Linked DNA regions of Mus musculus. The protein of the gene in region 1 interacts with the protein of each later gene in a pairwise test. Links are inferred from orthologs where the notes say so. Each region holds a gene or a part of one and is shown on either strand. Other genes may lie near its edges.

Region 1 (4,593 bases):
TCTAAGGAATAGGGTGGATAATGAAAGAGCAGGATACTTGACACTGTCCTCTGGCCTCCAACAGCACAGTAGTATGCATCTACCCTGGCCCATGTGCATATACCACACACATAATAACCTCTCTTGGAAGATTTGGGCTTGCTAGATGGAGCTGAAGTTTCTTCTTGTTTTTGTTTGTTTTCGGAACAGGGTTTCTCTGTATAGTTCTGGCTGTCCCTGGAACTCACCCTGTAGACCAGGCTGGCCTTAAACTCAGAAATCCAACTGCTTCTGCCTCCCAAATGCTGGGACTAAAGGCGTGCGCCACCACTGCCCAGCCAGAAGTTTCTTTTTTAATACTTTTTTGAGAGAGGGACTCACTTATAGCCAGTAATCCACTATGTAGACCAGGCTGGACTCAAACTCAGAGATCTATCTGCCTTTGCTTCCCAGGTTCAGGGATTGAAGTCATGTGCCACCACACCCATCTTATTTTTATATTGTGTGATTGTTTAAGTGCACCATGGCCATACCTAGTCCCAGCAGAGACTAGATGAGGGCTAGGGCTGGAGTTACAGAGGGTTGTGAGCTGCCACATAGGTGCTAGGAATCAATCCTGGATCCCCTGGAAGAGCAGTCAGTGCTCTTAACCACCAAGCCATCTCTCCAGCCCCTCCACCCCTTTTTTTGTCTTTGAGATAGGCTGGAACTCAACTATGTAGACCAGGCTTGCCTCTGCCTCCCCAGTGCTGAGATTAAATACACGAACAACACTTCCAGCCCCATTCTTGCAACATTTTAAATGTAACTTCGACCCCCACTGTTCTAGTTTCATTTCTGTTGCTGTGATAAAATGCCCTAGCTAAAAGCAGTTTAGAGAAGTAAGGGTTCGTTTTAGTTTACGACAACAGAGTATGGTCTCTCATAGGGACGTTCAGGCAACTGTCTGGAAATAGAAGTGAAGCACAAAGCAGGTTCTCTTCATTACCCCACTATCACATCAAATATTTCATTTTACTTTATTTAGAAGATCTAGGCAATGCCCAGGCCGGGCTAGAACTCAAGCTTCTGCCTCTGCCAGTTGCGCGCTAGGATCACAGGCTTGTACCTCTACGCCTAACACAGCAGATTCATGTTTTTTTCCTTTTCTTCTTTGGTTTTTCCAAACAGGGCTTCTCTGCCTAGCCCTCGCCATCCTGGAACTTGCGCTGTACACCGGGCTAGGCTGGGGTTGAAGGCGTAGCCATCATGTCCGACTATCAGATGAAATTTCCGAGGCGCCTGCGCGCATACAGCTTGCTCTTAAACAAAATACATTAACTAATGAGAGACGAACCAGCGTGAAGCTCTAAATCGAGCCCACGCCCTGCAGATGCGGACGAACGAGGACCTACGGGCAGGCCCGCCTCTCGTGGATCTTCATTCACCAGCACCCCGCCTCAACTTTACCCTCAGCCTAGCTCGCCTTCTCTCCACTTCCGCTTCCGGCCTCTTGGGCGCGGCTTCTGCACGTCAGAGGCGAGGCTTCCGGCCTCCGGGGCGGGGCTTCCGGCCGTCACTGGAGGCCGGCAGAAAGCTGAAGCTGCTGCATCGCGGGGACCGTGGGGCGTGCCATGGCGGTGAACCTGAGCCGGAACGGGCCGGCGCTGCAGGAGGCCTACGTGCGCGTAGTCACCGAGAAATCCCCGACCGACTGGTAGGCAGCAAGGCGGGGCCGGAGAGGCGCCAGAGCGGGAAGGTGGAGGTCGCGGCGTAGCCGTAGTATTGCAGGATCACCTGTCCACCTTCCTGAAGCCTAGCGAGATGCTACCCCACCCTCGCCACCGCCGTCCCCCCGGCGAGTACCCCCGGGCCTCTCCCCTGCCACCTAGTGGTCGGTCGGCTCTGCCCTGAAGATCTCTGCCTGGTTGTGCTTTCTGCTTTCCGCCAGGCTCTGCGTTTCTGGGACCTCACTGGACAAAGGGGTCCCGCGCAGTTCCCCAACTCCCTGGAAGGCGGAAACCACGTCTTCTAAACCCTGAGTTCAGGAAGAGACCTTGAAAGCGGCGTGAGCAGTGGGTTGAGGTCATGAGCTCACACAGGGCTCAGTCAAGGATGTCACAGGTCTGGGTCCCTGATTCTGGGACTGAAAATGGGATCCTGTCACCTGTTTGAGAAAAGGCTCCATCCTTCCTTCACCACCCCAGGAGCCATTACAGTACTGTGAACTAGATCTGAAGTTTCTGGAGTGGCCCTGCTGAGCCCTCTTAGGTTTCTGCTACATGCATACCAGTCTATAGTAATTCTCTTTCACTTTCCGTTTACTTAACATGCTTCCGTTAGCCAGTTTTTAGTGCTTCAGTTTCTCAGACATCTGATGAGTATGGCAGGTGGACAAATTCTGGGGAACACAAACTGGACTTTGGAGTTCTGGTGGGGCCACCACTACCCTGTGGTCAGCACTGAGGGGCGCTATACTGAGTTTGCCTGTGTTGAGTCTTCCCTGGAGACTTCCCCTATTGCAGAACTCTGGCCAATCATCTCTTCTGTTCTACTGTGTTGTCTCTCCTCTTTATCTTTTGGCCCTCTAGTCGTCTCAGAACCATCACTGTTTGGGGAATACCTCACAACCTAGCTAGCAGTGCCCTTCACCCATGCTTATAACTCTTCACTGACCTTGCTTGCTTTGCTTGCTTGCTTGCTTTTGAGACTGTGTAGCTCTGGCTGGCCTGGAACTCACTGTGTAGACCAGGTTGGCCACGATCTCACCTGTGTCTGTCTCCCGAGCACACATTGAGCCTCCTACTAGAATCATCTGCTCCACCTTGGTCTGACATTGTCCTGCCTCATCCACCCATTGTTCCTTCTGAGGGTGCAGATCTTGCTCTTTCCCCATACACTGTTCATCTGCCCCAGCAGCCATGCTACTGCCCAGCTTCCTACAGTACTGTATGCAGACGGTGCTGCCACTCCAGTTGAACGAGCCTCTGGCCTCCACCCTCACTGTCACAGCCATTTCAGTAGTCACTCAGCAAGATTTTTGTGGCAGGTCCCCACTCGCTAGCTGAGAGAATATCTGGGCCATCTTAACTTCCCTGCCCATAAATGCAGTGTCTTCCTGTTGCACTTTAGTAAAGCCCAGACTCTTACCCTGTCTGCCCTGGTTCCTGTTGCCCCTCCTGCTTACTACTCTGGCCACACCTGTTGACCACCCTTGTACCAAAGTCTTTCTCTTCCTCAAAACTGCAAGCTAGTTCCTCATCAAACAGAACCTCTGATCTTGCTGCTTCCCCTGCATGGAACATACATATACATCATCTTGATTGCTTCTTGTCCTTTATGTCTCTATGCTAGGGTTGTCTTCTCAGAGAGTCCTCCTAAATTCCTAGTACATGGGCCACATGCATGCCTTCAGAGGCCAGAAAAGACTGTGGAGTTCCCTGAGACTAAAGTGATAGTCACTTTGTCCTCTCTCCTAGTTTCATTTCTTTGTGATACAAATAAGAAACATGCTGGGAACCCTCATGGACTCTGTGTGTGTGTGTGTGTGTGTGTGTGTGTGTGTGTGTGTGTGTGTGTGTTTGTGTGTGTGTGTGTGCTTTTTCTCTTCCCTAACATGGTCAGGTAGACCCTTGTGCCTAGCTGTCATATGTTTTGATGGATGGATTAAGCCATGCAGAAAAAGAGACTGTCAAAAAGAGGTAGTCTTCAATTTGGTAGCCAAAAAAGGTCACACACACAGAGCTGGTACCGTGACACTGTAGACCAGAGCCATAGCTTTAGTTTCTCTCATCTATAATCTAGCTTCAGCCTCCTCCCTGAAGAGCCTGGCATGACCTGTGCTTATCTGGTTCCTATTACACTCTGTGTACACTGTACATTAGCATCAGGTGTAGGGAAGTTAAGCTCCATGGGTCGGACCTTTTAGGAATTGTTCATAGCTGCAGTCCAGTCAGCATACACGTACCAGGCGTTGTTCACACTGATTTAAAAGAAGAGGTGAGAGTTCTATTGAAGGTAAGAAAAAAAATCTCTGAACTGGAAATTTTATTTGGGGCGATATGTGTATTGTGCATGTGTGCGTGTTCATGTGCAGATGCACTCACAGGACACACAGGTGCAAGGCGCCAGTAGATGGAAAAAAAGCCACTGGACAACTATCCATTAGAGCCTTGGTGGCTCTGTGGTCTTCACTGGAACTCAGTGTTGTCATTGTCTACTTTCTGTTGCTATATCTGCCTGGTAAAGTGCATGTTTGCAGGAGAATCTCAAGACAGGAAGCCCTGCTGTCTACCCTCAGGCTATGAAGGCAGGGCTGATACCCACCCAGGAGTCCCCAGTGCACCTTTCTCCCTCCTGCTTCTACGTTAGGTGTTTGGATTCAGGAATATGAAGACATCTTTTGCCTTTTGAAATTTATGTGCCTGAAAGCCAGCTGAGTGTTTTATTCACTAGTGTGTAGAAAGAACACATAACCCTCCCACTTTTATCCTCCCCTAAGTATATGTTCATATGTCCTTCCCCAGTCCCAGTGGCTTTCTTTCTTTTTTTTTTGTTTTTTTTTTTTTTGTTTTGTTTTTCGAGACAAAGTTTCTCTGTGTAGCCCTGGCTGTCCTGGAACTCACTTTGTAGACC
Region 2 (2,599 bases), on another chromosome or scaffold:
CTCCTAACCTTGCTTTATCATTAGCTTACTCTAGAAGTACTGGGTAGCCGCCCTTGGTTTTATTCACAGACCCTGCCCTGAGAGCAGTTCTCACATTGGACCCTTGAGGCTAAGGAGAGAGGGTACTAACTGAAAACCTCAAGGACACAGGCCTGATGTGTGTGGACAGACAGGGAGGGAACATGGGCAGCTAGCAGCAAGCCTGACTATCAGTGCCATCGTTACTGCTGACCTTTCCCTTTAAAAAGCTGGGGGAAGGGCTGGTGAGATGGCTCAGTGGGTAAGAGCACCCAACTGCTCTTCTGAAGGTCCTGAGTTCAAGTCCCAGCAACCACATGGTGGCTCACAACCATCCGTAAGGAGATCTGATGCCTTCTTCCTGTGTGTCTGAAGACAGCTGTAGTGTACTTACATATAATAAATAAATAAATCTTAAAAACAAAAAAACAAACCACTGGGGGAAGAGGTGAGGGGATCTAGGCAGTGGGTTACTCAGTCCCTGCTGGACCTGCTTCCTTTCTTCCTGCAGGATTCTAAGTTCTACCTGGAAGGTGAGGTTCTGTTTGCCAGTGTGGGCAGCATGGTGGAGCACTACCACACCCATGTGCTGCCCAGCCATCAGAGCCTGTTGCTGCGGCACCCATACGGCTACGCTGGGCCCAGGTGACATCCATTCCACACAGCTGTTGGGTGGAAGCAGCCCCGGAGCCACAGCTCTGCCACAAAGATGGAGACCAGCTGCATGGGAAGATGAACAGGAATGGGCTTGACATCAGACCTCATCGACATGACACCTAGCCGCAGTGAGCAGGCTGGGTTCCAGCTGGAGCAGGCCACAACTACTAAAGGAGTGGCTGGATGACTTGGCCCATCCAGCCATTCCATGACCCATCTCTCAAGAACCCAGGTCTGGTGACTAAGTGCTGCCTGGGCTTCGAGGGCACATGATCAGGTCGCTATAGCATACCTACTCTGTAGTGGGCTGGGACCAAGCAAGGCTGGGTTACTTGAAGCCTTGTCCTAGGACCCATAGGAATGCTAAGACATAGGAATGCTCTAGGAGGGACCATTGCCTCTCAATAAATCAGAGATGACCTTTGTCTCAATGACCAGGGTTTGATTGGCACAGAGTGGGTAGCAGGCTCTACTGAGCACCACCAATGTCCAGGTAGAGAGCTACTGAGAGCAGCCCTAATGTGTGGTCTTTAGTGTTCAGGGCACAGGCTGCTGAGTGACCTCACTGGAAGAGATAGCTAAATAATGGATCAGGATCCACCTGGATCTGTCAATCTTGGCTGGAGCCTCAATTTGAAAGCCCCAATTAGCAATTATTGAGCGACTATGTAACTGGCCTGGTACTGGGGCTGGTTGCTGGCTGTGAGCAGCCCCTAGTCCAGCTTGGTCAAGCTTACTCTAGAGCAGGTCAGTGAGTATCAGGTGCTGCTGGAGGTGCTGTGGTCTGGGAAGCCACATGGGGGATCTGGGAGCTTGGAATCCAGTGTGTGTGGGGGCAGGGAAGGGGTGGGAGGTCGGGGAGGTTCCAGTAAGACTTCTTACAGATGACCTGGCCAGAGTGAAGTGGGACAGGCCAAGGATGGGTGGGGACAGTGGCATCCACGTACCCCCAAGTAGTTTGGTGATCCCAATTGGTCCAGGCCACACCCCTGGCACAGCCGTCTAGACTGGACTTTTTCTGTGAAAATAAATTCATTTGGAGGTCAGGGCAGCCAGAGACCTTGGCACTATCTGATTTCATTGCACTTTATGTTAGAAAATAAAGTTTCTTTTTAAATTTTATTATTTTTATGCATATGAGTGTCTTGACTGCATGTATGTCTGTATATCATGTGTATGTACCTTGTGCCCAGGGGCATACAGAAGAGGGTGTCGGATCTCCTGGGATTGGAGTCATGAATGGTGGATGCTGGGAATCAAACCAGGGTTCTCTGGAAGAGCAGCCAGAGCTCTTTAACTGCTGAGCCATCTCTCCAGCCCTAGAGGAGAGGTGTTTACATAGAACCTAGAGCAAAAATTGGAGTTGTGCTCAGTAGCCAGGGACTGCTGTCTAGTAAGGGGAGCTTTGGTTTGCGATGTTCCACCAATTCCTGTATTTTGGAAGCATCAAATTTGTCAATGTGGGAGGCTCTGTCCCCCAGGCATCATGGGGTGTAGTGAATGACAGACATTGGATTCCAGTGGCCATCTGCTTCCAGGAACCAGAGTTCATCTCTGCAGATGTTTCTTATCAGCCTACCAGGGAGAAGAATCAGGATGCCAGGGACAAGTTTAGGGTATATGAAACTTTTGGTATTTTGAACAATCCCTTGAGGGGCAATCATTTTTTCCTCCCTTCCTAGACTAAACCAGGGACTGGGGTCATGGAAATGGCCACAGTGTCCATTTCTGTAAAATGTAAAACAGAAGTGGATGATCCCGTGCCTAGGAGTCTGCTGAGTGTGCACAGTCCTGCAGAACACCTGCTGTGGAGAGCAGCTCATTGGCTAATGTGTTTCAAGCCCAGGGGTAGAAGATTTAAGGATTCTTTGGGTCAGAGCCATGTGATGGATCCTTCAGGCAGACTAAACGTGGGTGTTCAAGG

The links.
Region 2: the proteins of Dbnl (region 1) and Sh3bp2 interact in binary tests that used the Homo sapiens proteins (3 or more experiments, as listed by UniProt). The link is inferred for Mus musculus from reciprocal best matches to the Homo sapiens genes DBNL and SH3BP2.

What each region holds. Positions count from the first base shown.
Region 1 is NC_000077.6:5,786,968-5,791,560, forward strand, and holds the start of Dbnl (drebrin-like protein), read left to right. Parts: upstream 1-1,515; 5' UTR 1,516-1,592; coding exon 1,593-1,675; intron 1,676-4,593. UniProt on the Homo sapiens protein: Adapter protein that binds F-actin and DNM1, and thereby plays a role in receptor-mediated endocytosis.
Region 2 is NC_000071.6:34,561,830-34,564,428, forward strand, and holds the end of Sh3bp2 (SH3 domain-binding protein 2), read left to right. Parts: intron 1-529; coding exon 530-667; 3' UTR 668-1,810; downstream 1,811-2,599. UniProt on the Homo sapiens protein: Binds differentially to the SH3 domains of certain proteins of signal transduction pathways. Binds to phosphatidylinositols; linking the hemopoietic tyrosine kinase fes to the cytoplasmic membrane in a phosphorylation dependent mechanism.